Linked DNA regions of Oryzias latipes. The protein of the gene in region 2 purifies or fractionates together with the protein of the main gene of each other region. This does not show direct contact. Links are inferred from orthologs where the notes say so. Each region holds a gene or a part of one and is shown on either strand. Other genes may lie near its edges.

Region 1 (6,820 bases), on a different chromosome or scaffold from region 2:
TTCATTACTGTTCTCCTTCACTCCTAACACCAAGCATGAACGCGCGCACACCCCCAACACGCTTGTGCACTCTCACTCACTCTTTTGCTGCTCCGCTCCTTCCTCTTACACACGCAGCGCGCTGACACACACACACACACTCATTCTACAACACCTGTATACCTTAATTTCTGGACTATAGAGCGCACCTGGTTATAAGCACCATTACATTTTTAAAGGATAGAACATTTTGTACATACATAAGCCACACCTGTCTATAAGCCGCATGTGGCCACATTGAAACATGTGTTGTAGAATGAGGATGTTTGTGTGCTGAAACCACACGCGTGTGTAAGAAAGAGGGGGGAGCGCGTGCAGCAGAAGTGTGTTGGGGGTGTGCGTTCATGTTTGATATACAGAGTGAAGGAAAACTGTAATAACAGAAGATTCCCCTCCAGAAGAATGGTGAATGATTCTTTATTAACCCGCTCTGGAGGCTCTGAAGGTCCGAACAGGGAAGTGAACCCCGAAGGAAGATCCGCCTTCAGCGGAGAGGATCTCCCTGCATTTTCAGACCACCGTCAGAAAGAAAAAAAGTAATGCTGGAAAGTTTCAGCACGTGATATATTTCCAAAGAAAGATGGTACACAGGAAGAGTTTTCAAACTTTTAATAACATACTTGAGCTTTGCTTCCAAACAGTGACTGTAACACTGCAGTAACACGGCAGTAACAGCACTAACAGGGCTGGTTAAACAAACATACCAGTAAAAGTCATTTTGAATGCTTCCTTTTGTTTTTGTTTTTTATTTGTGTTTTGGTTTCTGAAATTATGTTTAGATTTTCAAAATGTAACACAGTTAAAATTATTATTATTTTCTTTTTAATTGTGGTTGCGATCTTTAAAATGTGTTTGCGTGGATTGGATGACGCGATTCGTCGACTTCAGGGCCACCGTACTTTAGTTCAGATGGAACTAGCTTTCAGTCCTGACATCAACTGTTGAAGCATTCCTGAACGCTCACTTAACTGTCTGTTGCTGGAGCAGCCATCAGTTTGAATATTTCTGTAATCGATACACACTGTTTAAGCTTTCAAATGAATCTCTGCTCCAGCAGGGTGTGAGGACGTCAGTCGTTTTCAGGTGTCCTAGAAGATGGTTGCCAAGGAAACATCAAGTTCCTCGTGGAGCTTCTCTTTCCGTTTTTAATCAGTCACAGACAGGAGAAGATCCTTCATGCTGACATGTGTGATGCCCTGAGTTGTTATGTCACGTGCTTCTGCCTGATCACGTTTCAGCTGGAGTGCCAGGGGAGGAGCCTCGCTGCTCTGTGTGTCGCAGGGCGGAGCCAGACTCTGACGGCCAGCCTAAGGTCAACAACCAAATCCTGATTTGTGGGAAGTGCGGCATCGGTGAGCATGGCGTTGTCTGAGTTCACACCTTCACATCTGTAGAAGGGGGCGACGTGTTCGGTGGGCGCTCTCGCCAAATCCTAAAGTTAGTGTAGGTCTCTGCGCCAGCCCACAACATCAGTGCGAGTCTGTGCAGGTGAACACACCTGAAGGAGGCGATGCTCTGGTTTACCTGCTTCACATCATTCATGCTGACATGGGAGTCAGTGGGAAATTGCTTGCTTTAATAGACCTGGTAGTCATTTGAGAAACGTCTTGTGTTGGCTTCACTTTGGGGAGTAGTATCACATGATCCCATGTTGATCCAGTTAACCTGGTCATAAAATCGCCTGTCTCTGTGTTTGCCAGGCTTCCACCAGCTGTGTCACATTCCTCCAGTAGAGGGCAGCAGCCTGAGCCCTTGGTTCTGCAGACGTTGCGTCTTTGCTCTGGCTGTTCGGGTAACGCCTCTTCCCAGTGCTGCATCAGCATGTTCCCACAATCCCCCTCTCCGTTGTCCCTGACCCGTTCCCTGTCGTCCTCGCAGAAAGGGGGCGCTCTGAAGAAGGGGCCGATAGCCAAAGCTCTGTGTGCCATGAAGCAGGTCCTGTCCTACAAGCTGGATTCCTTGGACTGGGACTCTCAGCATCGGACCAATCAGCAGCAGTGTTACTGTTACTGCGGAGGCCCTGGAGAGTAAGGCCGACCGCCCGAGAGACCGGCGTGTTGTGAGTGCCAGGTGTTGTCTGACTGACGTGTGTGCGTGTGCAGGTGGTACCTGAAGATGCTGCAGTGTTTCAGGTGTCAGCAGTGGTTCCACGAGGCCTGTACTCAGTGTCTTCAGGAGTCCATGATGTTTGGAGACAGGTGATCCTTCCTGCCCCCCCCCCCTGCTCCGTCCTCCTCTGTGTTCATGCTAAGGGTCTGCTGTCCTTCCAGGTTCTACCTCTTCCTGTGTGCGGTGTGTAACAAGGGCTGCGAGTACATCCGCCGTTTGCCCCTCAGGTGGGTGGATGTGGTTCACCTGGTTCTCTACAACCTGTCAGTCAGCAGCAAGAAGAAGTACTTTGAGCTTGATGAGATTCTGGCCTTCGTATCGACCAACTGGGACCACTTGCAGCTCGGAAAGGTAAACAGCAGAGGAACCGAAGAGACGCTGAGCTGAACCAGAATCTGATTCTGATTCTGATTCTGATGTGATCCTGCTTTGAGTTGTGGTGTTGGTTGTCAGCTCTCTTCTTATTTCTTCAGCTGTCTAACACTCCTCCTGCAGACAGGGGGCAGCACCTGCTGGATGCTCTCAATAACTACAAGAGCAAGTAAGTACCGACCCCGCCTTCCTGACAGTTCATCTGTGCGTCTGCCGATCCAGTAAGTATCTACATGCGTGTCCTCAGGTTCCTATGTGGGAAAGAAATCAAGAAGAGGAAGTGCATCTTTCGTTTGAGGACCCGAGTCCCGCCCAACCCCCCCTCCAAACTCTTACCCGAGCATGCTCTGCATGACGGGGGGCGGGGCCGGAAGACGACCTCGGTCAGGTAGATTTTTTTTTTTTAACTTTCAAGCTACCTGGAATCGTTTTTGGGATGCTTGGGGGTCGTGGAAATCCATCTTTGTGTTTTTGTGTTTTTGCTTCAGTAGTTCAGCTGAAAGGAAGAGGAGAAAATCCAAGTGGCTTCTGGAGGATGCTATCCCTAATGTAAGCCGCCTCTTTCTCTAAACCCTTAAAGGAGAGTCTTTGTGCTTGAGTGTCGCTGTTCCCCCCTGACCTTCTGCAGAACGAGTTGTCCTGCAGCTGGACCTCCAACCACCACATGGCCAACATCTTTGACTTCACTTTAGATGAACTCCAGAGCCTGAAGAGGTGAGTTGAGTAGAAGGACAGGTGATGGGTGACCCCTGAGGTGCAGATCCCGTGCGATTGCTTCCGTTCTTCTCCAGCAGCTCCAACAGAACCGTCAGCATCGACCAGGATTCTACCGACGCGTCCACCTCGGGTTCTGCCACCACCAGTGCCTCCTACCGCCTCAAGTAAGACGCTTTCCATCAAAGCTCTCAGACCTGATGGAGGAAGCCCCTGACTGACCTGCTCTCCCTGTTCTCAGGAGCAGAGTGGGCAGCAAGAAGAGAAAGTTACCTAGCAACAGCTACAGCCAGTGGGCCAATCGCAGTGAGGTGGACGAGGAGCCCGCCGAGACAGCCGAGGAGCGAGCTGCTGCTCCTGACGCTCGCCTGAACACGGAGCTGCCGCACTTTCTGTCTGACCCCGCCCACATCGCGTCAGACTCCTCCCTCCTTCATTCCTCCATCTCCTCGTACTTTGGCAGACTGAGCAGTGGGGAGAGGTACCAGGTGCTGGCTCGCCGTGTCACTCCTCAGGGGATGGTCCAGTACCTTCTGGAGTGGGAGGGAACTACACCCTTTTAGGACTTGACCCCCTCACCTCGTAGAGCCTTTGGTTCCTCCGCATCCCCGCCAGCCCTGCTCAGCTGCCTGTCAATCATCTCAGGGGTGACAGGTGTATCTGTGCCAGCAGCCTGTCTGTCTTTCTATTGATCCAACTGAAAGTCCGGCAAACCTGAACTTAGAGAAGTTTTGCTGCAGAAATATCAGGAGCTAGCACACACAAACACACACACACACCTGCATTCCCGTGTGGCTCTCAGGCTGGTGTGGATGAAGACGGCATCAAAGCTGCTCTGGAACCGTGAAAACAGTATTTAGTGGAAGCCTCCGTCATCGTTCAGCCAAAGAAGCAGTCGGAGGCCAAGCGTGCGTCTTCCTGTTGACGGTGTTAGTGTTATCGGGAACTGAAGTTCGGTCGTTTTCCGTTAGCGGCCTGTTAAACTGTTGCTTTTACTGTAGCTAGTGTTGCACCCCCCCTTACCCTAAGCTGTCAAACAGCAAACTGAGCCCCCCCCCCCCCCCCCCCGTTCTCCCTCCAGTTCTGGACCTCTCGGTTCAGTTCTGTCACGTTTGAACAGAGAGCCCATTGTTTGTCTGCGGCGTCAGGGTTCAGGGTTCGGACCGGAACCCGTCTGGGTTTGGTTCGGCGGGTTCCCGCCCAGCAAGCCAGCCGGTTCCACTGTGTGACCCCCCCCCAGCCTCCTGCACTGCACACACATCCATTATCTATGCAAACACCAGAAGCTTAGCTCCAAGCTAACGCAGCCCTTTGTTCTGAATGAGAAGTGCTAACAGTGCTAACAGTCTCTGAGACTTAAACGTTCACCGTGTCACTTTAATGCTGCAGCTCCTCCCGCTGCCATGGTAACCATGCTCTTCTCCCATTGGCCTGTTTGAATGGTTGTTGTGATCACATGACTGCATGTTTATCTCTTGTACGAGCAGCTGACCAGCCAGCGTTTTGGAATTAAAAAAAACAAAAAATCTGACCTTTGACCTCTGTGTTTGTGTTTCTGTGAGAATGAGTCAGTCTGGTGTCGGCCAGACTGAAGACCTCAGAGGATCTGGACCCACTTTTAGGGTCCAGGTCGGACCTTCAGGAGCCCGGGGGGTGCAGGTCCTGGAAAGTGCATGACAAGTATGTGTGTGTGTGTGTGAGTGTGAGTCAGTGAGAGTGCAACAGGTGATAATCTGTTAATCCCATTAAGGTGTTAAACAGCACATGAAGAAGAGTCAGTTCATGTGTGCTCCTGCCACACGGAGGGTCTGCGCAGACAGACGGGGCCTACAGAGAATGTGAGACCCCCGCAGCCGGGACGCAGTTTCCATCCGCCGTGAGTCACCAGCCGTCCGGGTTCGGGTCGGCAGAATGCGCGAGTGTGTTTCCGGCATGTCACGGATGACGGTGGCGTGATCGTCCGTCATCTGCGACATGTCAGGCGTGTGTGCTGCCCTGTTCTGTTGTCCTGCCCCCTGTCTTTTCACCGCTCCTGCTGTGCCCACAGGTGTGGCTTTGTGTCTCCACCTCAGGTGTGTCGGCATCAGGACGTCCTGTCCTCATGGAGCAGCTGGTTAAACACCTGTCCAGGTGTCAGCACCTGGGCTGGATGAATGTGATTGGTAAGGCAACTAGGGGAGGAGAGAAGAATCCTCCGATTTCTGATTCTTTTCATGCGGAGATGGCCTGTCAGAACTTGGCCCGTTGTACTCATCGTCTCACGGAGGAGTTTGGGGCTGAAGACGTGTCGCCATGGTTACAAAACGTCAGTTCCTTCAACAGTGTTTTGTCGCTCAGGCCTGGCGTCATGTTTCTATGGCAAAGCCTGTGCTTGGAAAAGAGAGGTGTTGTTTTGATGGTATCGTCTGTCCATCCATCCATCTGTTCGTCCATCCATCAATTGTACTTTGCCGGAGCCCAGCCACCGTTGAGCAAAGGCAGGGCTCATCCTGGACAGGTCAAAGATGAGCACCACCAGCTGGAGACCTTTATTCCAACACCAAAATTCAAAACGCGGATTTCCAAATCAAAGCGCTTCAAAAGAAAAGGAGATGCTGCTCCATAGTAACCATGGTAACCGTGCTCTTATCCAACGTTTCTGAGATGCTTTGGAAATGAGCTCATGTGGATGAAAGCCAAACGTTCTGTTGTCATAAAATATTGCGTGGTGGTCGGACGTTTTCCACTGGATCTCATTTTGAAAGCTTTGGATTTAGTAGAAGAACAGAGGAAGTGGCTTCAGAATTCTGAAGTTCTGTCAGAACTGTGACGGGTCACAGAACTCGGGAATCACTTTAGACCCAGAGGAACCACAGAATTTAAAGTCAATTATTGGGCTCAGCATGGAATAACAAATCACTGAAAAGCTTTCAAAATAAAAGCCTGTTAGAAGCATTCAATCCAGCTTTATTAATGTGAGCATTTTAAAACATCTGAGCCAAAGTTCTTTGCAGACGTGAACAACACGGTTAAGTTAGTTTGGTTAGTTACTTACGGTAGTTGGGTAATTATTAAGCAGGATATTTACTTATTTGTTTAGTTAGTTGTGTAGTTTAGTTAGCATGTTTAGTTAGTTTATTCAGCAAGGTTACGTGTTTGTTCAGTAAGTTTAGTTAGTTTGACATGGTTAGTTAGTTAGATTAGTAAGTAGTTGATAAGTTACAATTTGAAATTACTTGGTTACTTTGCTTACTTTTAGTTGTTTAGATATTTAGTAAGTTAGCCTAAGTTAGTGGGTTAGTTATAAAAGTTTGGATAGTTATCTATCTGGTTAGCTACCTAAATGGTTAGTCAGAAAGATAGTTTTTTGTTTAGTTAAGTAAGTTGTTTTCTGAAAAGTTTGTTTCATTAGTCAGTTGTTTTGTTTAGTAAGGTAGTTAAGTCGGTTAGTTTAGTTAGTTGTTAAGGAGGGTTAGGATCAGGGCAGAGGGTCATGGTCACCATGAAACGAACCCACAAATACTTTTGTATTCAATCTTTTCTGATGTGCTTCTTTGTTTTTATCACATTACAATGACAAAGTTTGATGTGTCGGATCACACAGCTG
Region 2 (8,713 bases):
TCTCCACCTCAAAGTAAAATTTTCATTTTCCATAGCAACCAGTGTTTACATTCTCCAAACGCAGATTGTTACCTCTAGAATCGTAAATGCCACACTAAATGTTCTTTTTCAAGAGTGGCTCTAAGCGTGTAGAGTGAGTCGGAAGTTTTTGAATTTACAAATACTCATGTTAGCTTAAACAAGAACACTTCTAGATAAAGCTAATGCCAAAGACAAGTCTGCATGTGTAGTGCAGATCTTTCAGGGCAGTAGAAGCTACATCTTGACTTGTGGTGTTTGTCACATGCGCTAGAAAGAGTTCGTCCCTATCAGTTATATATATATGTTAGGACATAGCCTGGAGACGTAGCAAATTTTAAGTTCTTAGCTAGTCGATTTTCCTCAAATTAGCTAACTTTGAAATCGTCTGAATGGGAATTTTGGTTGCTCTGCTCCACTTGTAGGAGTTCCTAGATAGGCGGAAGATGACAGAGTTCGGCAGCTTGGCTCTGGTGGACGAAGGACCCGGGGACGGAGATGGGGTCAACATTAGCCTGCCAGGAGTCAGGAGAGGTACGAGATAAGGTCCAACATCCAGACCAACAGATGGAGAGTTTCCTCCTCTCACTGGGTTTTGCTTTCCTTTTCAAGGTGACATGAGTTCCCGTCACTTCAAGCCGGAGATCAGAGTCAGCTCACTGAGATTCTCTCCTACTGGTAAGTGTCGGGCGCTAGCTTGTTTTTGAGTCCGACTGCATTTACTGTTTCTGTGACCGTTGACTGCTGGCACATCTCAGGTCGTAGTTGGGCGGCCACCACCACCGAGGGCCTGCTGGTCTACTCCCTTGACGGATCGATGGTTTTTGACCCGTATGACCTCGACCTGGACGTGACGCCGGCCAGCATTCGCAAGCAGCTGCGCCTGCAGGAGTGGACATCGGCCATCGTCCTGGCGTTCCGGCTGAACGAAAGCGCCCTGAAGCAGGAGGCGCTGGAGACTGTACCTCACGAACAGAGTGGGTGATTCCTCCGTTGGGTTTTACGAGAACTTTGGAAGTGGCCATCGTGTAGCTTGTCTGCTGTTGTGTCCCCGCAGTCCCGTTGGTTTGCAGATCCCTGCCGGACATCTACGTGGAAAAGCTGCTGGGATTTTTGGCCACATGTTTGGAAAAGTCCAGCCATTTGCAGTTTTACATGACCTGGGCCCAAAACCTACTCATGCTGCACGGACAGAAACTGAAGAATCGGTAGGTAACTTTGGGCCTAGTCACAGAACACTTCAGTGCGGCTAGCTAGTTAGCTCTGGTTCAGAGGTGTGCTAAGGACTGTAGAGCAGTATGGTTGTGACGCAGTATAGACGAAGGTCACATTAGCAACCTTACGATTGCTAGTTGACAAGGTCATGGTCTGTAATCCTTACGCCATCATATCTGAACGTCTGTGGGACCCACAAGCGAAACAAAGATCCTTCAATGTTCTTTTAACGGCGAAGCTTTAGCATCACATTCTTTCATCTGTTGTAACTCTTCAACGTTTTTTTTACGGTTTTATTACAAAAAGAAAAGCAGCTTTTCTCTTAGTTAGCCGATTTACGTTGATTGCGGAAATGGTTGAAGAGTGAAGGCCGTGTCACACAGCTACGACGTACGTATGTTTTGCGCATATTGTATGGATGAAAAGTCGTTATAGGTGGAAAAAGTGAGTTTTGGTCTATCCGTGAAATTTTCACAGATGTATCACGAATGAACCACATTAAAACTACAAAAGAAGTATGAATAAACCACGCTAAGAGCACATCAGTGTAGAACATGAACCGTGCATGATTAATGTGCTGTTTATATGCAACTCATTAGTGATTTGTGCATCAAGTACCTAATTTTTGTTCATACATGCGCCATAAATGCGATATAAAAGCTATACATCGGTGGTACACACGTAAAAAGTCCGTTGTAGATAGCCACGAATTTTCATATGCGTCTCACAAAAATCACGCACAATAGCCTAAGTTTTACATAAAAGTTGCATGTAAACTACGTAAAATACGCCATAACTGCGTATTTCTCAACTGGCCAAAAATTCTGAACAGCTTTAAACCAAATTCACGGACAGACCTGTCAGCAAAAACCCTCAACGGACATCTGAGCACATCGACAAATGACAAAGGCAAGAAAAAATTACGAATTCGGCATATCACGAAACACTCAAATTTTATCCTTGGAAAATTCGCAAAATGTATATAGTGGCTGTGTGTCGCGGGAGGTCTAATGCGACGTTCACACCGGACTTCAAAACACGCATTCCAGGAACCGCTTCCAATAAAAAGTCTATATAAATGCACGTTTTGGGCTTCCAAATTCAAAACTGTTGCGTTCATGCGTCTGTTTTTGGGCTCTACAGGACTCAGATTTGGTAGTGACTAATGTGTAGTACCAACAGTTACCCACAGGTCAGCGCGTTCTTCACACATGGCTGGTGTGTGTACATAGCTTGAATTGCGTGTTAAGTATGTGTCGCCGGCGACAACTCCAGCGTCAACGGGTTATGGTCAAGAACACGGGTTCTACACCACTGATGCTACAGGACAACAAAGTTGCTTGATTTAAAAAAATAAAAAACGAATTGATTAAAACCTTTGATCTGAATCATTTAAACTTAACCGATGTAGAAATATAACTCGGTAGAAAAGTTCAATTATCAAGATACATTTTCTGTTTGGTTTGCAGGTCGGGCTCCATTCTGGCCACGCTGCAGTCACTGCAGAAGAGCATTCAGAGGCACTTTGACAATCTGTCCAAACTGTAAGTCTCTCTTCAGCTTCACAGCCTCATTCAAAACTATGATGGCCCCCCTTTTTTTTTTAAGTGTCGATTCTCCTTCCAGGTGCGACTTCAACATGTACAGCATCCGCTACGCTGCTGCCTTGTCCAAACAGAGAGGGATGAAGAGGCCAGCGGCACAGGAGGACGAGGAAGATGAAGGACCGTCAGAGGAGATGAGCCAAGCCTCTTTGGATGACGATGACATGAGGCTTTAGCCGCTTGAAAGTCTCTTAGAAGCAACATTTTATAATAATAGAATCTTGTTTTGTACCTCTTTTAAAAATAAATGTATATATGTGGTGTTAAAAAGTTTGGTTTTGCTTCTCCGATCATTTTTTAAACTATTTTAACATGTTCTTAATGGTTTTTTTAGTGAAAAGTCTGCTGTTTTTAGCTAGTCGTTTTCTAGGACATAGTTTCTGGGAGAGCGGCTAGCTCACTGCCTTTTAAAATCTCCATGTTAGTGCCATTATGCGGCACGTTAACCAATCAGGGACCCAGCTTTGGGTACGTGATGTTTTCAGTGACTCTATCAGTGGATGGAAAAAAATATCTGGTTTGACTGGAGCAATCAAGCCAGCTACGCTACCGGACAGAGTAGTGACCTCCGATGCCCAGGGTCCAGCAGAGCTAGTGGAGCTCTCTATGTCACAGGACATTATTTAGGCCCTTCTGCAAATCTATTTATGCAGTTTATTATTCTGTGCTACAGGCATTGGACTGTGACTACACGATCCGACCTATCCGTTGCATTGAAGTTTTCGCATTTCCTCTGTTTAGGGGATTTTAGCCACCTCATACCTTTGACAAAGCTGTGACATCGACTCAAAGTCATTAGACTTGGCTCACAAATGACTGGTAAGTCCACTGTGCTTTGTTCCGAATTGAAATTTAAGGCTGTGTACAAATTCCTTCGCTATTCACGACTTAGTGCACTACATAGTGCGTTCGCTGCCGTTTGTACTGTCCGGATGTACAATTCCCAAATCGAGTGCCCTAGAAATCTGCCAGAAGTCTGCGAAAAACCAGTGTAGATCAATATTCACTAGATTGGCAAATATAAACATTGCATTTAATTTTTTTTGCGAAAAACAGTTTAAATGTATGTTTTTAATAAACCAACATTTTCATCATTGAACATGTGCGAAGGCTATGCGCAATTGCATGCTTTGCTGTCTTTATATTTTCTGTCACTACTACAAACTTTGTCAAATGGCAGTTTTTCGTGAGCTCCCGATTCACTATTTGAATAAAGAAATACTCAAATGCTATTTTAAACTATATTTAATTTCCTTTTTGACTACTACATTATCAGAAAAATCCTACAAAAACATGTTGAGAACAACATTTTTATCAGAGTGGGTCTTTCAAGGAAAAGAAGTGATAAGTGCGTAAATAAATTTCTGTCAAATGCTCAATATTGTGTTTTTTTTCTTTCCAAAATTTATAAGTTTTTGTCATCAAAATGCCAGCCAACTTTTATTTAGCTCATTCACGTCGTGTAAATTACGTCATTTTAAAAAACATTTTTTTGAACACAAATGTAACCATAACATTGATAAATCACAGGAAAAATTACATTTCTTTTTCTTTGTTTCCCGCTTATTGACGGGAAGGTCCATTAAAAACCCCCATTCCCAGCAGCCCTTGCGGCAGCGCACCGGAAGAGGCGGGACCCTGTGCCGAAAAATGAGGGAAAATAAGAGCATGTCCGAGTCCCCGTCGCAAGCGGCGAAAGAAACACCGGCGGCGAAAAAGCAAAAACTAAGCAGTGACGAAAACAGCAACCCCGACTTATCGGGAGACGAGAATGTGAGCAGCCGGTACCGGACTGTGTGTGTGTGGTTTTTTTTTAAAAACGACGAATGTTTAATCGCGCCGTTCACGTTAGCTTCCTGCTAAATTAGCAGCTAAAGCTAGCATCTTTGTCCGTTTTGGTTAAACACCTGTAGATGTGAAACTCCGTTGATTACAAAAAGCAGCTTCATGGTCACAAAAACAACAAACAAAACTAAAAGGTTACGTACATTTCAGCTTTGGACACGAACATGCTTTACTTTGAAATTAATTTTGTAGCTAGCTTGCCTTAGCACGAGCATCCTAGTGTTTTTCGGCCATTTTATAAAAAAAAAAGATTTCTTCAAGTAAACCTAAGTGATTTCGTCTTCAAATAAGGCTCACACAAACCGTTGTCCTAATTTTTTAGTTAGATTTGAAGTCCTCAACGTAACTAAAAGGCTAAAGCGAAAATTATTTTATATTGCTTGTATTTTTGTTGCATATTGTGTCCTATTTACATGTATTTAGAACTTTAAATCAATACAATTACCTGTAAATTTGAGAAGAGCAACGGAAATTTTGAAACAAACTGTGAAAGATGGAAAATTTTCAATTTCGTTTTGCAGCTTTTATTTTGAAAATTTTCAAATATTGTGCTTTTATTATGAAAAGTGAAATGCATGATGGAATGGATTTGTTTGAGGACTTGTATGTTTCTGAACAAAAAAAACCCTGACATTGCGTGTACAGGACGATGCCGTTAGCGTGGAAAGCGGGACGAACGCGGAGCGCCCGGACACGCCCACCAACACAACCAACGCCCCGGGCAAGAAGAGCTGGGGCAAGGGCAAGTGGAAGTCAAAGAAGTGTCGGTACTCCTTTAAATGTGTCAACAGTCTGAAGGTGAGTCCACCCCCTGCTGGCCAATCCGACGTTTGCAACGCTTTAAAAAACGAACTGACAATAAAATGGCGATTTTCCTCTGACCGAGGTTCAGGAGGATCACGGACAGCCGCTGTTTGGCGTCCAGTTCAACTGGCACAGCAAGGAAGGAGACCCACTTGTGTTTGCCACCGTTGGGAGTAACAGGGTAATTTCTCCCTCATGTTGATCCAATGTTTGTTTTAATCACGCAAATCTGTGCTAGCATTTTGAATCCAAAGATCGTAAAATTGACCGTATATTAGAACTGAACCGAGTCCATGTCCGAACAATTAACAAAAAATTATATAGTGCAGGACTGTCCAGTGCCTTGGATTTTAACGAAATCCGAACACTTGCTAGCTACTTATTAAAAAAAATTATTAAGTACGACGTCACCTATTTCCTCAAGTAAAAAACAAATAAGGATGAACGTTTTACGATTGTTCTGAAGACGAAATCATCGTCCAATGAAAAAATGTACTTTCTCAAATCCAGTTTGTGCAATTTCATAGTAAATGGAAAGGCAGCTAGTGATGTCTTATATAATATAGCAAATAATCATTACAGTTTTGTTTGAATGTTATGCCAAAGCTTGATCAGTTTTTCGGGACCCTAAAGTTGTTTGTTTGTTTTTGTGCAGGTGACTCTGTACGAGTGTCACTCTCAGGGAGAGATCCGACTCCTACAGTCCTACGTTGATGCGGACGTATCCTTCCACCTTCTGCGGTACAAACTAGTCCTTGGTGGGCTCCGGAGCTGGTCGGGGTGCGTGTTGCTGTTTTTATATGAAGCATTGTCGTTTACGACACACTTTGAAGCTTTGCGGGACTATTTTATGTCAAATGTGGCAAACAAGCATGGAGGAAGATGATCACATGCAGCATCAATGTCAGCAAGATGACCAGCCAATTCAATTACGGAAGCTCGTACCTTAAAATTGAATATTTATCTGTAGAAAAGCAACTTTTGTCACTTTCTTTTGGGACCAGCAGATGCGCTTGATGTTCTTGTTTTTTAACGCGACAGTGCCCCCTGGTGTCTGGTTCATCCTAAATATGAATTCTTGCTGTGTTTACTGATCTAGAGCCTATTTTCTGTAGTCGGTCAATGCTTTAGTTCCACTTTGGGGAACTAGGATTGTTGGGCATTATGGGTAGTGTAGTCAGGAGCCTGACGGAGTGATACGTGCACATTAAATAGACAAAGTGCACATGGATAACCACACAATTGACTAGAAAAACATCCCATCAACACCTTTGACCAATCGCCTTCTTCCTGCCCTTTCTACGCATTCTGGGTTGTGTAGTTGTGTCGTTTTTTATTCCTGACAAATGTCTTTCGTTACCTACACAAGAACCACAACTAAAATTAGAGAACATTAATGAGTTAAAGTCGTCCATTGTGATGTCATAGCACTCATGGACCACAGGGCATGGAAGCGTCCTCCACTGACATAAAACTACAAGAAAGGTTGTGGCGGTCTTACTGTTACCGAAGTTAGCCACTGTTACGTGTTAGTAAAGTATTAATAACAGATAATTACATGAATTAACCGGATGAAATACCATGGGCATGTTTTTAAATAAAACTAATACATAATTAATAACTAATTTATAATATTTCCATGTTAAAGTTTCATAAAACTATTGAGTTAATTAACTAAATTGCTGAGTCATTTTTTATCTGTTGTCGGGGTGTATCGCCCTAATCGGACCACACAGACTCTGCAATCCCATCCTAAACTGTAAGCACCTCCCAGCTCCAGAAACTTTCATTGGAATTGCAACGTTGCTATCGGTTTTCCTTGACTAACGCGCTCCCGAGGCGGACGAGAACTTCTACACGTGCGCTTGGACCTACGACACCAACACCAGCCACCCCCTCTTGGCCGTCGCCGGCTCCCGAGGCATCATCAGAGTGATCAACCACATCACAATGCAGTGCATCAAGGTAAACCCGCCCGTTACGACCGCTTAACAGGTGTTTTGGATGGAGGATTTCAGAGGTTCTGTTGGTTGACAGCATTACGTGGGCCACGGGAACGCCATCAACGAGCTCAAGTTTCACCCGAGGGACCCCAACCTCCTTCTGTCTGTCAGTAAAGGTAAGACGGTTCGTCAGGAGTTTATTGAACCAAACCCCTTCTGAGTCTTTGATGAAGGATCCTTGGGGTCCTTGATGCCAACGGGCGGGTCTCTATCTCTGCAGATCACGCTCTCCGGCTGTGGAACATCCAGACCGACACGTTGGTGGCGATCTTTGGAGGCGTGGAGGGGCATCGAGATGAAGTCCTGAGCGCCGTAAGCTTTGCTGTTTTAAAAACTCCCAGAAGAAAGCAGCAAAGGGAAAATAAAAACTGTTCTGGGATATTTATGTTATAGTTTTGTCAAACATAATCTGTTTAGAAATAAATGCAATTTTTGCTCTGTCTCCTATTAGCACTAGCAAGCCCCGCCCTTTGTGTGACTGTTTGTTACAGCGCTACCTCATGCAGCAGTACCCCATGTAAAGGAGCGTTAAAAACTGTAAAAATGAAACCAGAGCAATCGCAGCAAAATACAAATCCTAAAAAGTAAAAGGCAGAGCTTAGATCCCTGTGGTACACCATGATGTATACATTCCAAATGGCATTAAGCACTACTTATAGGACTAAACATGGTGAATTAGCTCATGACTAATCTGAGTTGTGATTAGCGCTTTTTTATATGTTGTTTATGGATTTAAACATATTTAGCTGAGTATCATCTGCAAAAAAACAAATGACATTTTTTTTCTGTGCTTCCCATTTGTGCTAGCAAGCCTCGCCTGCGCCTGTTTTGACTGTTGGTTACGGCACCACCTCGTGCAGTAAATGACCGTTAAAAACTAAAAATAAAATGAACGAGAGCAATCGATAATATACATATCCTAAAAAGTAAAAGGGCAGAGCTTAGATCCCTGTGGTACACCACGATAGACAAAGTCCAACTTGCATTAACCATTAAAAACATATGGAAGTAAGCATGGAGAGTTAGCTTATGAGTCTCTGAGACTTGCTTGTTATTAGCTGGTGGTTGTAACTCATCTTTTGGCGGCTCCTCTTAGTGGTCGCCACAGCGAATCACCTCTTTGCACAGGTAGTTTTGGCAGAGATTTCCAGACGGGCTTCCAGACACGACCCTGGATTTTATCCAGGCTGTGGACCGGCACAGGGAGACTCCTCATTGTTACAT
Region 3 (8,042 bases), on a different chromosome or scaffold from region 2:
GTGTGTCAAAAGATTCATAACCCCATGATGTAACAGTAAAATATGTCTAACACAAGAGGCTCTCAGCTCTCATCTGTTGGGCAGGACAAGTTAAAAAAATGTAAATTAAATTAAAAAATAGAGTTTCAATAGTGTCTCTAATTAATCAGGATGCCGTTTCTATGAGAACATATAATAAATGACTAACTCACTTTGAGTTGACCTGGCAAACTTCTGGTAAACCCAGATCAAATTATGTCTAAACTTTGGCCCATCAAAAGCAAATCACAGCTGGTGATATTAGTCCAGAGTGAGAGTTTAAATTACTTTTGCTTACCTTCAACTGTCCTAAAAGATAGGAATTTTTACATGTGCTCTCATGTAATCTACAAACCTCATGTGACGACTTTTTGATGTGAACACCAGATTTACCATCAGTTTTTTCTCCTGCACAACAACAGCTGGGTTAAAGGCGAAGCAGCGGAGGTGTGGTCACCTGGTGACTGCTAAAAGCATAAACAAGTTCCTCCTCAAACCAGGTCTTTGAAGGGACTGTGGTTTAAAAATGTGATGCTTCCATTTTCCAGACTTTTCATTGAACCCTCATGTTTTAAAATGTGCTGCTACTCCAACAAGGAAAAGGGGATTCTGGGCATTTCCCCGGGTCTTTTGTCTCAATTTTTGATCCCATAAATCAAGCTGAGGTGGAGGTAAACAGAGGCTTTTGTGGTTTTCAGCACATTAACATTCCGCTCAGAGTGACCCTGAAGCTCAGCTCACACCACAACACTGTTTACGTCTGTCGTTTTATTTGCATGAAGGTCACCGGGAAAGATGAAGAGCACACTCGGTGAGATGGCAACACATGCTTACTATTCCAAGTGTGAGCTGGCTCCTCACTCTTCCTCACTCTCTCGGACTGTCAATCTAAAATGTAATCCCTCCTTTTCTTCTTCCCCTTTACACAGCTTGGGCAGCAACACGGTGTTGGGCGTTAAACTCGCTCAGCCAGCACAGATAGTTAAAGACAATAATGACTTGATGGATGGATGCGTTTTATTATGTGCGCGGGATGCAGCTCATCTTGTATCCAGCCATCATGCCATGATCCCCCCACAGAGAGCTAATAGACCCTCCCCGGTTCCTGTCTTTTTCTCAGAGGAAGGAGACGAGCGGCACGAGTCACTGAGAACATCAACCTGCGCGCTAATTATCTCATCCTGAGCTAATTAAGAAAACTCCCTGACAGGCTGAGCTGTCATGCCGACAATACAATCTCAATTGTGTTCAGACCAAACCAAAACTCAGTTAATTCATCAGATATATCTGAGTTCTCGAGCTTTTTACCTGACTCTGCATCAAATTTGATGACTTTTTTTTTCTCGCTTTTATTTGCATTTTTAGGAGTTCTAGAGGGATACCTGGAACCGGACAGAGTGTGCAGGTCAGCAAGGCCAATTTTCATGCTTTCAAGTATTCTTCTTTTGACATTCACATAACATTTAGCATTAAATCTAAAGCACTTGTTTTGCATTGCCTTGGTCTTTAGTCAATTTATAGTTTAAAAAGGAGATTTGGACAATGTTTGCAGTCATTTTAAGGGTTTAAGAGTTATTTATTTTTGTTTCGCTTAGATTATTTAAATTAATTAGTAACTTTTTTTTAGCTTTTACCGCTTTTTTCTGTCTGTCGTTTCAGCTAATACAGCCGGCAGCTTTTTATTTTTATCATCTGACAGTTGTTTTAGCATTTAAAGCATCCAATTTAACATCCGTTGTGGCATTTGTAGTTTTAGTTGAGAATAATTCAGTTTCTTTTCAATTCTCTGACACTTTCTTCACCTGATTTGAAGACGTTTGATGTAAATTTAGCAGCTGCAGCCTTTGAATTAGTGTTTTAAGAAAAGTTGTTCATTATTTTTACCCATCAGGCTTTGCACTTTTAGAACCAATTAACATATTTTAGATGGTTTTTAAGTTCTGAAAACTTCATTCAGTTCCTTTCAACACTTTGCATTTCATGTATAAATTGCAACATTTCTGTCTATATATCTGTATCTCTCTATATACATATATATTAGTATTTGTCTTAATTCTTTTCAGCTGAAACAGATTTTTAAAAACTCTGCGTTTTCTTCTGAGTTTCTTTTGACCAGAGTTTTATGAAATGATGTGATAGTTTGCCTAAGATCTGCTCTAAAGGTCCCACAGCAATGTAGTAAATACTTAGATTAAACTTAAAAGACACAAAGTAAACTTCAGGATTAATGTAAATGTACATATTCAACGCTGCACCAGCCTGAAAACCCTCAGGACCTCACCTGTCCCCGTACAGCAGCGGCTTGGTTAGGCACTGTGTGCACGCCTCATGGAACCACTGACCACAGCTGCCACACTGCACCATTTTCAGGTTCCACCTGCAGAGATGTGAAGCAGCACGTCAAACAACGATGAGTAAAAGCATTAAAGACCCACAACAATCATCTTGTGATCTATTGCAGAAGCATTCCCGTAATACCGTTTTTAACCAAAATCAAAAAACGGTTGTTTTCAAGGACATTGTTTCTGCAGATCGCAGAGTAGTTCATTAGAAAAATTTGCCTCAAAGTTGCCCTTCCTGTCACCCAACCGAGCTATCGGTTTACATTCTTCCGCTGGCTTACAGCCCCCCACATCCCTGACCTAACATTACAGCTGCATCCAGCTGTACAGTTTAGAGCCAGATGCCGGCTCGGAAAAGGAAAACAAAGACGTACATGGATCTACTTGTCTGCAAGTGGAGGCATCAGAATGGAGCGGAGCAGGGAGCTTGTGACCCGCCCAGCGTATTTTCTACATCACAAATGCAATTTTTTCAAACGGTATTTTAATGTCTACTCCTAATTCACAACTATTTGCATAAAATAATACTCAGAAATGCAGCTTTAAGCTGAATTTTCTTTATACTTGTCCTGCATCATAAGAAATATGGAACTAGAACATGTTAAAAAAACAAAAAAAAAAACAATGTGATTTTAATCGGAGTGGGTCGGATAAAGACAGACAAAGTGCTGGGCTGCTGAGGCATTTGCAGGGTCACTCACTCTCCGGGTCCGGCACAATAGCAGTAACACTGCTGCTGGTTGGTCAGATGCTGCGGGTCCCAGTCCAGAGACGACAGCTGGTACGGGAGCCGCAGCTTCATGAACTGCATGAGCCGGGCGAAGCGTCCACGCTTGAGGGCCCCGCCTCTCTGCCAACACAGGACACAGCTGATTTATTGTGGGTCAGCTTTGATGGAAGCAGACCGACAACTAAACAAATTACTTCAAAATAACTGAAGCACAAGGGATGGCCAACACTGAAGTGTGATTCTCTGAGCTGCAGGGGCAGTTTATGGGCTTCATTGCTGTCTAAAATGACCGAATGACCATTATCACCCTGATTTCTCCCATGTTACATTGCCAGTTATTCCTGTGATTGGCCACCTGACCTTGGTTGCGACTGCAAAGACACACTGCCGACATATCCAAGAATCGCTGTCAGCTTCCGGCTCGATGGTTGGCGTGTGGCACTCCAGATGATAACCTGTAACGTCAAGAGGAGGCAGAGCCTTCATTTCGGTTAGACAGTCAACCAGGAGGAGGATAATGACAGATCTGCTGTTTGTGCTTTGACAGCAGGTTTTAGAAAACACACAACTCTACCATTTGCACACGGAAAATGGCGGAAAGATTTGCCTTTTCTCCTCCAAAGCAGAGACTGTGTTCACCTGACAGATCCGTGATCAGAGGATGGAAACATTTGTTTCCATTTTCCCGCCTGCGCATCCCGCTGCTGAGTGTTTTTAAAACTTCCTTCCACCTGCACTTCAGAAATGTCGTTTTATCTTAGCGGTTTAATGGCCCGTCACTCAAAGATGTGTTTTACTCGGCTTGTGTGTGACCTTCACCGTGCAGAACAATGCCTATGCGGAGACGAGCACATTCACAGCTCCTTTTATTTCACTTTCCCACTCAATTCCTACAACCTGATGAGCACATTTGCAGCTGGCTGAGGTTTCGCCTTCAACAAAAATATTTAGAGTTTTTGTTTTCAGAACATTAATGATGCAAGGACACCAACCACACTGGAATCATTACTGACAGATTACACAAACCACATTTCCTTTTTTTTATCCAAAATTTATTCAAATTGTTGTGAATCAGGAGCAGACAAAAAAAAAAACGTTTCAAAAAGATCTAATTTCTAATGTAAATATATGCTGGGTGGGTGGGCCACATCATATATATATTGTGTATATATATACACAATGTACACAATGTACACAATATATATATATATATATATATATATAGTTTGTTTTGTATTTTTACAGTAAATAAACTGGAAAAGAAAAAAAAGAAAAAGAAAATGGAAAAGAAAACCAGGTAATATTATTGTAAACAGAAGCACATTAGAATTACTGTACTGTTGGAACATTTATATTAACTACTGCCAGCTGGATGCTAGGAATTACTTTACAGTTGTACTACTGTAAAATAAAATTCATGGTAAATCTGTGTGCTGTGATTCATTTTACTGTTTTGTCCCCTTTCAGGGTCACGGGGCTGCTGGAGCCTATCCTGGCCACTAATGAGTGAAGGGCAGCTGACAGACAGGTTGCCAGTCTGTCGCAGAACCACAGTCACACAACCATGCACACTCACATTCACACCTGAGGACAATTTAGAGTAACCAATGAACCAAGTTTTTGGATGGTGGGAGGCGTCCACAGAGAAACCCCACGTGTGCACGGGGAGAACATGCAAACTCCAAACAGAAAGGTCCCCCCATTGGTGTTCTGGTTCAGGGGATTTGAACCTGGGGCCTTCTTGCTGTAAGGGAAGAGCGCTAACCACTGTGCCACCGTGCAGCCCTACTTATTTATATTAGTGCCAGTAAGTTACTGTAAAACTTGCTGCACCTCCTTTACAGTGTGGGAAACGTTTGCGGGGGGGGGGGGGGCAGCATCACATAGATAGTCTCCCATGAAATAAGACATACAGACAAAACATTCACATCTCAGAAATATCAAATGCACTCACAGCTGCCTGGTGTAAATGTCTTTTAGGATGAAGAACATTTCTATTGTCCTCCAACAGCCAAAAACACACTTACTTACAGCATCTCTTAAATAAAGAATAATACTCCTAAGCAGCATAGAAGGGACATCAATTTCAGGCAACAGAGCCTGCTGGGGGGCTACTGACCCTCCAAAGGCCTGCTTTATTTACCTCAATACAAGACAACCTGGAATTAGGGGCTCCAAATCCTAATAAGGTCACGGTGGGACAAAACGTGATGTTCAGCACAACTGAAAACCTAAAGATTGACTTTTACACCACATTTATTACAAATATACAACATTTAAGAAAGTTATTTATCTACTTCAAAGATAAGAAAACGACGTTGAAGCAAAATATGCATATATATGATTATTATATATACATATATAAAAAAAATTCCATAACTTTTATTTAACAAGGGGATTCCCATTGATATTTAAAACCTGTGTACCTGGACAAGAATCAACAAAAAATACAATGAATGTGAATATACACAACAACTGTTGCCTAAAATACCTAATTCATACTGTAGCTTTTTATTAAAGGCAACATTAGAACATTAAGAGACTTTATTTCATCGTAATATTGATTTTGTAAAAGAAAAATTCATATTTTGGCAAAACAATTTTTAAAGAAATCATGTGACAATAGTTGTCATAAATCTAAAAATGCACTAAAAGACTATCAGCTTCACAGCAGAAAGTGAGCTTCAGAGCCTTAAAGTGGTTTAACTCCTGGTTCAACACTTTATGCTGCTGTCCGTTTTCTGAGCAGGAAGGCACATTTTCTAAAATTTTGGATTTTTTGATTCTACTTGACCGATGATTCGAACCCACGGTACCCGATCTCAGGGTGGACACACTCCCAGCAGACCGTTGAGCTGGTCACTTAAGTTAAAAGCTACAGTTTTCAATGCAAAGTTCACATAAAAAAAGCCAAATGTTGAGTTTTATTTGAAAAAGTTGTGAATTTCATGATAATTGAATAAGATTGTTCAGGTTTGTACCAATAGTGTGTGTGCACCAGCAATTAAAAACTCTGCTAAGCATAACACAGACTATGAAACTGTCATGTTTTAGAGGCAAGTTTTTTTGTTTACTTTATTGTTTTTATTTAAAAGTAGATTTTATGCTTCCAAAGAGAAACAGCTTTCTGCTTTTTTATGCTTCATTTGCAGAAAACAGTTACCTCTTTAGAAGTCCCGCCTCAAGATGCTTAGAAAGAGATGATTGACAGATCCAGATCAGATCAGTCTAATAGTTTCTTAAATAATGTCTACCCTTTTTTTTTTACAGAAAATTGTTGTCAACTTAATTTATTTGGAAATAATTAGTTCTTAATCTTCATGTTCTCCAGTTGCTCCGATATTTCGTTTTGACCCTTCAAATCTAGAGTCTGATAGAAATGGAAAGAACCAAAGATCTGTCATTGATTCTTGAACATTTTTAACTGATCGGATTCAGAATGTTAAAGCTTTTCTGCATCACCCTCTGTGACTAACCCTCAAGGTCACTGCGAGAACCCATGAGAGTTGAGGAGGAACTTTTCCTTACCGTGGCGGCATTTAAGACAATTTATGAGCGGTTCTTTGAGAGGCGGGGCATCACAAACGCAGCAAACTTCTTCCCCTCCGGCAGCGACTGAAGCAAACAGAGAAAGAGAGACGTCAGCTAACAGCTGTCCAAGACTTTTGCTATAGAAGCTCCTCTGATCTCTGTGCGAACGCCAAAGACTCTTAAATTCATTTTCTGATAGAAGAAACAAAACAACAAAAACAGAAAAGAAGTTCTCCTTACAGGAGTGGATGTCCTTCCTGAGCACCCAGAACTCAGAGTTGTCCTCAAACCTCACCAGACAGCACTGCTTGACTCCATCCACCTGAGAGCAAGAGAGCAGGTTATCAGGGTGGCGGAAACTCTTCCAAATGTTCCTCCCACACCCTCCCCCCTCCAAACACCTACTCTTTTCACGTTTCCGAGGTACAGGAGTCCATCACTCCATCGTGCCAACACATCATCTCCCTCACTGACTCCCCCCATCCTGAGGAGAGACACAGAGGAGAAGGAGAGCAGGGCTCATGTGCAATTGAGATCTGATTTATTTGCTGACAGCGAAGGAGGGGGATTTATGGCCCCCGCTGAGGCTTTATTGCAAGAAAAAAAAAGTGGGAGGGGGCAAAAAAAATCCTCCTCTTTTAATGGATGAGCATGGCGACAGGCTGTATCCGCCACAGTGAGAGATGAGAGTACACAAGCAGAGAGCAAGACAAATGATCAGTGCAAACATCAAACACACACATGGAGACGGAAAACACTGCATGATGGCTGCTGCAACACCATCTGACTCAACTCCAACTAAACTTGCGTGAAACGACTCTGCAGGCGTGATCTCTGCTCACTGAGCATCTGTTCCAGTGCATGCACTCAATTACAGGCGGATGACAGGGATGCGGAGCCCGCAGGCGGCGCGCGCCTCGCGGCCGCTCAGGTACCTGTCCGCGCGAACTCCTTCCCGTCGGGGGTCACAAAGATTCCTGCAGGCGCATCCACCGAGGCTCCCCACCGCGCTGCCCAATTACAGCCCGCACCGCCGCGCCGCGTGCGTGTTCGCCAAAAGTGGAGGGCGTGCGTGCATGCTCCCGTCTGTGCGGCGCCGGTGTGCTTGTCAGTCAAGTCTTCAGCAAGCAGGAGGAGGGGGAGGAGGAGGAGGAGGAGGAGGAGGAGTGCGCCGACAGTCCGTCCGTCTCTCAGTCTAGTTTGTCCGTCCTCCTCGGTGCCGTTTCGTCATGTTCCGTCGCTGTTGCCCACCCCCTTCCCACCCCCCTACCCCTGATGCTGAAGGCGTGCTTGTCAGAGCTGCGCCAGAGACGCCATAACCGCACGCGCAACGCCGACTTGTTGTGACGCAGACATAAAACACGAGGATAAAGGGGGGGGGGGGGTGTTGACAGGGGTAAGGAGGTAGGAAGGCGGGGGGG
Region 4 (6,987 bases), on a different chromosome or scaffold from region 2:
ACTTTACTTTTGCATCAAATGCTGTTAAGTGAGTTTTTATTTTTCCCTCCACGAACTCGTTTGGGACGGCAAGTCATCAAACCAGGTTAGAGAAACACGGAGGAACGGCTGGAATTGCTATGACTCGGCAGAAGTTAAAGATGGAAAGAAGTCATGAATTCAGACATGGAGACGTGGCTCTTCACCTTAAGTGATCTCTGGATGTCACCCGTGTGTAAACGAGACATTCAGTCGATGCGTCCATGTTGCTATGAGGCTAAAAACTCGACAGTAGCTTCTCCCACATGTGGCGGGACTGTCTGGTTTATGAACGCGTTTTTGGACGGCAGCATAGGTGACTTGACGTGCGTAGAAAAAGGCAGCAAACTCGCATTTGATGCGAATCAAACCCGATCACGCTGGGTGTGAGCGCAGCATTTCTCGTGATTTATACTCCGGATCGGCTCGAATATGTTTATTTTCCTTACTATCTTTTATTTGACCCTGTGACTTACACTCCAGTGCAACTTGTACTTGGGGAAAATACAGTAATCTGATTACAATAATACGGTGGCCGACAGGGCTCACACTACATACACAAGAAATGACGCAACAGCATTACCCGAACCAATACGGGAAATCTGGATCTAAGGCTTTTTGTCTAACACTATGTAAAGTTACGTTTAGTAGGTATCTAGCTCATTTAGCTCGCCTCGTTCAGTCAGCAAAGAGAGGCGCTGTAGCCGTGTTCTTCAGACTTTCTATTGAACAGTCTCTTTCCAACTACTACACTGTGCAAAGCAATCCGTCTCTAATCAGCTTCCTAGCTCTGCACTGTGCACCAACATGTGACTACTCGCCTAGCATGCTGGGTATTCATGCATGCTGGGTAATACAGTTCTTTATAACTAACGTCAATATACAACAACTTGATATTCATATACAGTACAGACCAAAAGTTTGGACACACCTTCTCATTCAAAGAGTTTTCTTTATTTTTATGACTATGAAAATTGTAGAGTCACACAGTAGGCATCAAAACTATGAATGAACACATGTGGAATAATATACAAAAGAAAAAAGTGTGAAACAACTGAAAATATGTCATATTGTAGGTTCTTCATAGTAGCCACCTTTTGCTTTGATTACTGCTTTGCACACTCCAAGCATTCTCTCTTCTTCTTCTACTCACAGGAATATTTTCTTTTGTGTACATTTTTTCATATGCAAATGTTAATTTTGTCTTTTTAACCCTTGTGCTATCTTGTGGGGTCCAAATGACCCCACCCTTACATTGACATGTTCTCGCTACCATGACAAAGGTGGATAAAGGTGGAAAGATTTCATGTAATCCATGGACACCAGTGAAGATCACAAATCATTGAAGAAAAAAGGTTCAGCCTGGTGGGGTCCAGATGACCCAACTCCCAATGTTAAAGTCCCTCGGAGGTCATCTGGACCCCACAAGACAGCACAAGGGGTTTTAATGAAGCATGTACTAGTTAACCAAAGCAGTCTGTTGACATGCCACATAAAAACATTTGAACTGTTTTTTTTTAATAAAGAAAACTTGACTTTTTTTAGAAAACATTTTCATGCCAACTACCGTAATGCTGTTTGTTTGGTTCTTTTTCCCTCCAGGTTTTATTTGTTCATCTGTTCAGTCTGCAACGGTGGACCAGAGTTTGTGAGCCGGCTGCCGCTCAGCTGGTGAGTTTGTCCGGAAGCCGTCACGCGTCCTCATTGAGGGAGGGGGTGTTCGTCCTCAAACTCTGCAGTAACAAATCTGTCTGCATGTTTTTAGTTGCTGGGATTAAAAACACTGATTTCCTTTTGGGAGCACTTAACTCCGCCCACCTCCACGACCTTATTGACCCCTTTTCTTGGTTTCAGATTTACTTGGAAAGTGCGGCATTGATTCGTCACATCCATCCATCGGTTGTCTTTTGAACAACGGATTCTAATATTTTCAGAATAAAATTGCCTATTCTGTTTAAAATGTGGGATTTTCATAAAGTTCCATCATTATTCGGTTAAACCTGGCAGTTAGAAGAGCATTGAAATCAAATCACCATCTCAGTCTTTTGCCCAGTAATCAGTTATCCCGCCTAAAATGAATGCCAGCATACAGCGACGCAAACTCTGATTCTGCAAACCCCGTCCTGTCTTGCAGATCTTTTGTAGGCTGTTGCTAGGCAACATGAATTGGAACTCCCTCCACGGTTCCTCTTTTGGACTGAAGTCCAGAGACTGGCTAGAACTCTCCAGAACCTTGAGATGCTTTCTATGTAGCCGCTCCTTCACTGCCCGGGCCGTGTGTTTGGGGTTATTTCCTGCTGGAAGACCCAGACAGGCTTCATCCTCCATGACCTCATTCAGTCTTTCCTTAACCCGGGTCAGTCATCTGGCCCACTTAGCATGAAACAAAAGAGCATGGTACCCTAAAGTCTTTCCCTGGTGTTCTCTGACAGCTCTTTGGTCTTGGTCATGGTGGAGGGTTACACTCTGACTGGTTTAGGCTGTGGACAGGCGTCTGATTCTGATAAGGAGTTTGAACAGGTGACATTGATGCAGGTAAACAGTGGAGGATAGAAGAGCTTCTCACAGAAGAAGAAACAGAATTAAGATAAATACTTCTGTTCTGCTTTATTATACAAATAAGTTCATTAAAAATCAATCAGTTTTATTTCTTTTTTTACATTTTAAGAGTGGGAGCGTTTCTGTGATTGACATTTCAGACCAAACTCATCCTTTGAGGGAAAACCTGCAGAGTCTGTGACTGTTGTGATTTGATTTTTTTCTGTTTCTGTGGTAAACTCTGATAATCAGCCATATTAAGGCAGTTTCCCTGAGTTTCTTCAATAATGTAGTTGTAATTTAATTTGTAATAGAAGTTTCTATGGAAATGTTTCAGGAAGGATGTGGCTCACCTGAGTTTGTACAACATGAGTGTGATTCACAAGAAGAAGTACTTTGACTCTGAAAATCACTTGTTGGAGTACATCAACGACAACTGGGAGCTGCTGCAGCCGGGAGAGGTGAGGCTTTATTCTGCACGGAGCTTTTCATAGCAGAAAGATGCTAAAGTAGGATTGGCTGCATGTTAGAGAGCAGATTTTACACATATATGAAAGAACTGCTGCTTATAAGCCAGATGGTTAACCCGGATGTTTGCTAAAATCCTGTTTTTGTCTCACAGCTCGCCGATACGCCGATCGCCGAACGCTGTGAGAATGTTCTGAAGGCTTTAAACAGCAACAGCTGCATGTAAGTCCTTCAGTTCCGGTGGGGTCGTGGTGGGTTCCTGGTTGGGTCTTGGTCCTGGTTGGGTCCCGGTTGGGTCCGGGTCCTGGTTGGGTACGGTGGGGTCCTTGTGGGGTCCTGGTTGAGTCCTAGTTGGTCCAGGTCCCCGTTGGGTCCGGGTCCGGGTTGGGTCCGGGTCCCGGTGGGGTCCTTGTGGGGTCCTGTTTGTGTCCGGGTCCCGGTGGGGACCTTGTGGGCTCCGGGTTGGGTCCGGGTCCTTGTGGGGTCCTGGTTGGGTCCGGGTTGGGTCCGGGTCCTTGTGGGGTCCTGGTTGGGTCCGGGTCCCGGTGGGGGTCCTTGTGGGGTCCTGGTTGGGTCCGGGTCCCGGTTGGGTCGGTGGTCCTGGTGGGGTCCTAGTTGAGTCCCAGTTGGGTCTGGGTCCCGGTGGGGTCCTGGTCCCGTGTGTGAGCCTGTTTGTGTGTTTTTCTCAGCACTGAACCAGAACACAAAATGAGCTCCACAAGTGAAGATTAGATGTTCCTTGGAGGAAAATCCGTCCCTCTTTGTCCCATCAGTGCTCATGTTGGTGCATAAATGGATGCAGGTTGTTTCCGTCAGAAGGATCCCGTTTAGAGTCACCATTTAACCTATGAAGCATTTTTTTGGACTTTGGGAGAAAACCCAACCCATGCTCGAGGAGAACATGCAGACCTCACAGAAAGGACCCAGCTGGGATTTGAACCAGGAGTTCACTGTGAGGTGGGAGTGTTGACCACTACACCACTGTGCAGGCCATTGAGCTGATTCCTGTTGAACAGTTCTGGCTCACAATCCTGGGTTTGCTGTTTATTATCTGTTCTTTTGAACTTTGCAGTATCTCAGCCGTGGGATCAATGACAGATCGATCGATTGATTGATTGATTGCACTTCACAGACCTCGGTTGAGCAGACGGGGTAGGGGGCTGGCTGTGTTTAGGCGCTCCCCCTTTTACGCCTTACTTTGTCTCACATTTCTGATCTAGATTCAAGTCTGGAAAAGAAGTGAAAAAGAAGAAGCACTTGTTCAGCCTGCGGGTGTGTTTCCCGCCCTCCCCCCCCCACAGCAACGAGCCAGCGAACGGACTGATGGACAAGACTTCACATGAGATCGCCGTGAAGGGCTGCAAGCCCACCACCACCCTGTCAGGAATGGGGTAAGATGCGGCGCCCCTCTGAGGCTCTGCAGGGAACTGCAGGCAGCCGGGAGCGCCTGCTTTGGTGCAGTCAGATGGAAGGCAGGACGGATTCGTCCCTCATCGACCTGTTGATGAGAATCATTTAGAGCAGAATAGTGCTTAAACTCTGTACTGCTGTCACTTCAGAAGTCTCGGTACTTTAACCAACGGCACCAAAACGAAGAAGACGAAGAAGAAGAGGAAGAGGAAGCAGGGAGCGTCCTTCCTGGAGACTCCATCCCAACGCTTCAGTGAGCGCCTGAGCCAGGTGTATAAGCATGCCGCTGGATTGATTGGTGCCGAGACGAGTTGACTGGTTCACCTGCCTGTTTAACCCTTTCACTGCACTTTGACAGGAAACCAGAGGCCCCCTCCCCCTGGAGCCCCACCCTTTGCAGCAGTTCCCCTCCGTCAGGTAAGGATCTGCACGAAGGCAGTCAGGACTGTGCTGAACGCTGCGTTCACCGCGGGCACGGAAACGTGCGTGTGAGCGACCAGCTCAATGAAAAGATCACGGAAACGCACATTTGAGGCATTTCCAAACTCTCGTTCACGCATCGCCACGCTGGTTTTCACGACAAAACTTTTCTAGGGAGACCCGAAAGTCATCATGGCAAGACGAAAATACAGTTAAAACATGCATAGAAATAAAAAATGAACAATATAACAACGCTGCGACTGACTGGAGACCTGTCCAGGGTGTCCCCTGCCTTCATCCGTAAGTGGCCGGGATAGGCTCCAGCAGCCCCGTGACCCCGAAAGGGACTAAATGGAAGAAGATGAATGGATGAATATAACGATGATAAACAGTTCATCTGAAACAGCTGCAGTTCCACATTTATTTGCAGGACTACAAAGAAAGTCACTGCATTGTTTCAAGAAGCTCCATTTTCTAGATGCAAACAGGTCTCAGAAATAGCAATTATTTTTTGCCTCTAGTTGCTTTGCCCCGCCCTCATATTTCCTGACCAATGACAGAAGAGATCTTTGGTCACATGGTTTTGTTCGAAAGCTTTTGTCTGGAACAGGAAAGTCTGCTTGATACGGACCAAACGCAGGGATCTGGACCAAACGAAGCGGACCGGGTCCAGACCAAACGGTCTTCCTAGTCTGAATACGTCCGTACAGAGTAGAAATGAAAACTTTGTTCCTGCTCTTGATTTGTTGGTGTGCTTTGTACTTCCAAACTACCTTATTGTAGCGTTTTACATTTTATTAAGTGTTTTTTTTAATGGTGTGTTTATCATCAGAAAAAGTCAGCTTTCATCCCAAACCTTGGAAGTGGAGTCCATTGGAGACCTCAGCGTGTCGGAAACTACCTCAACCAGCATTTCCAGGCAGTCCAGGTACGTGTGGTGCAGCGCTCTGCGTTTCCTCAGCTGTTGGCGAGCTCATCGCGCACCGCGTTGACGCACACCTGCTTCTGTCACGCAGCCTCTGCAGCTCCCTGATGCACAGACCGGCCTATGGCATGCCTGCGTCTTCTCCTCCTCTAAAACGGAAACGTGGGCGGCCACGGCGAGCTCTGCAGCCTCCCCACCCGGAGATCCCCCCTCCCGGCCCCGCAGACGCCAACCCCCCAGCCTCGGAGAGGCTCCATCTTCCCGGGCTCCACTCCTCCAACATAGTCCACGGACTGGATCCCGACAGTCAGCTGTCCCACCTCAGGAGCTCCATCAGCAGCTACTTTGGAGCAGCAGGACGGCTGGCTTGTGGGGAAAAGTACAAAGTGATCGCCCGACGGGTCACCTTCGATGGAAAGGTGCAGTATTTGGTGGAGTGGGAAGGAGTCACCGCCTCCTAGTCCGTTCATGAAGCTGGACTTGTTCACGGAACGGAAGGACGCCGCTGCTGATGGCGTTCAGACGGCGTTCGTGGTCTCGTCTTTCTGAAAAGCCCACAGATGAACGTTCCTCCTGTGAGGAACCGGAGCGCTTTCGGTGACCTGTCAGTCACATGGATGCTGGTCCGGACCAAAAGCAGTCTGCTGCCCGTTGATCCGTTTCAGAGGGGAGTTTAGGTTTTGCACTCTTCCTCTCATAAACGGATGAAGCCCCCAAACTCAGAGAAATCCTGTCCTCCCTCTCAGGTCTGTCAGCTTTTTTCCAGAGGGAACCTTGCATGACCTCAGAGTTCTGCTGCAGATGTTGTTTTAGACTCCTCTATTATGACTGACTTATGCATATCAGCCTCTTTTTTTGGTTTTGGACCCCGTTCTTTGACTGTTTCTCAGCCTTCAGACATTTCATTTCCTCCCAGACGTTTTTCTACCAACTATTTAGATTGAAATGGAATAACGTCTGACTTTAAGGAACCAAAATGTCATTTTATTTAGTCAAACCAAACCATAGTCCCGTACCCTCTGGTCACAGTTTCTTCTGCACATTTGACTCCGTGGTGGTGAGGTGTTTGCCAGCAGAAGGACTGAACAGCAGTATTTTCGGGTGATGCTGGGACAGGTGACGGACCGTCGGACCGCTCAGGTGTGCTCCTGTTCTCACAGGAAGTCGCATTGATCCAATCGCTCAGGATAAGTCCCGGTGAGACTGCA

What was found. Proteins that work in one complex are often made in the same cells at the same time.
Region 1: the proteins of eed (region 2) and phf19 purify together in Homo sapiens (affinity purification with mass spectrometry; 8 studies listed by BioGRID and IntAct, counting the BioPlex papers as one, with this or other methods). This does not show direct contact. The link is inferred for Oryzias latipes from reciprocal best matches to the Homo sapiens genes EED and PHF19.
Region 3: the proteins of eed (region 2) and PHD finger protein 1 purify together in Homo sapiens (affinity purification with mass spectrometry; 8 studies listed by BioGRID and IntAct, with this or other methods). This does not show direct contact. The link is inferred for Oryzias latipes from reciprocal best matches to the Homo sapiens genes EED and PHF1.
Region 4: the proteins of eed (region 2) and mtf2 purify together in Homo sapiens (affinity purification with mass spectrometry; 3 studies listed by BioGRID and IntAct, with this or other methods). This does not show direct contact. The link is inferred for Oryzias latipes from reciprocal best matches to the Homo sapiens genes EED and MTF2.

Annotation. Positions count from the first base shown.
Region 1 is NC_019867.2:31,494,314-31,501,133, forward strand, and holds the end of phf19 (PHD finger protein 19), read left to right. Parts: intron 1-1,277; coding exon 1,278-1,391; intron 1,392-1,739; coding exon 1,740-1,831; intron 1,832-1,917; coding exon 1,918-2,066; intron 2,067-2,141; coding exon 2,142-2,237; intron 2,238-2,309; coding exon 2,310-2,499; intron 2,500-2,621; coding exon 2,622-2,689; intron 2,690-2,767; coding exon 2,768-2,908; intron 2,909-3,008; coding exon 3,009-3,069; intron 3,070-3,148; coding exon 3,149-3,234; intron 3,235-3,311; coding exon 3,312-3,401; intron 3,402-3,475; coding exon 3,476-3,797; 3' UTR 3,798-4,772; downstream 4,773-6,820. Other genes in the region: disabled homolog 2-interacting protein-like, read left to right, coding at 5,336-5,396.
Region 2 is NC_019860.2:2,258,612-2,267,324, reverse strand, and holds the start of eed (polycomb protein EED), read left to right. Parts: upstream 1-4,460; 5' UTR 4,461-4,487; coding exon 4,488-4,610; intron 4,611-5,327; coding exon 5,328-5,480; intron 5,481-5,568; coding exon of another isoform or gene 5,569-5,574; coding exon 5,575-5,667; intron 5,668-6,141; coding exon 6,142-6,207; intron 6,208-7,325; coding exon 7,326-7,451; intron 7,452-7,523; coding exon 7,524-7,605; intron 7,606-7,709; coding exon 7,710-7,801; intron 7,802-8,713. Other genes in the region: periodic tryptophan protein 2 homolog, read left to right, coding at 444-552, 631-696, 777-995, 1,076-1,226, 2,703-2,777, 2,860-3,013. UniProt on the Homo sapiens protein: Polycomb group (PcG) protein. Component of the PRC2/EED-EZH2 complex, which methylates 'Lys-9' and 'Lys-27' of histone H3, leading to transcriptional repression of the affected target gene.
Region 3 is NC_019874.2:28,774,775-28,782,816, reverse strand, and holds part of PHD finger protein 1, read right to left. Parts: intron 7,944-8,042; exon of another isoform or gene 7,557-7,943; intron 7,106-7,556; 5' UTR 7,105-7,105; coding exon 7,027-7,104; intron 6,944-7,026; coding exon 6,862-6,943; intron 6,706-6,861; coding exon 6,619-6,705; intron 3,546-6,618; coding exon 3,451-3,545; intron 3,211-3,450; coding exon 3,062-3,210; intron 2,396-3,061; coding exon 2,300-2,395; intron 1-2,299. UniProt on the Homo sapiens protein: Polycomb group (PcG) that specifically binds histone H3 trimethylated at 'Lys-36' (H3K36me3) and recruits the PRC2 complex. Involved in DNA damage response and is recruited at double-strand breaks (DSBs).
Region 4 is NC_019875.2:5,988,774-5,995,760, forward strand, and holds part of mtf2 (metal-response element-binding transcription factor 2), read left to right. Parts: intron 1-1,620; coding exon 1,621-1,689; intron 1,690-2,893; coding exon 2,894-3,017; intron 3,018-3,178; coding exon 3,179-3,246; intron 3,247-4,244; coding exon 4,245-4,415; intron 4,416-4,583; coding exon 4,584-4,704; intron 4,705-4,792; coding exon 4,793-4,851; intron 4,852-5,686; coding exon 5,687-5,782; intron 5,783-5,870; coding exon 5,871-6,240; 3' UTR 6,241-6,987. UniProt on the Homo sapiens protein: Polycomb group (PcG) protein that specifically binds histone H3 trimethylated at 'Lys-36' (H3K36me3) and recruits the PRC2 complex, thus enhancing PRC2 H3K27me3 methylation activity.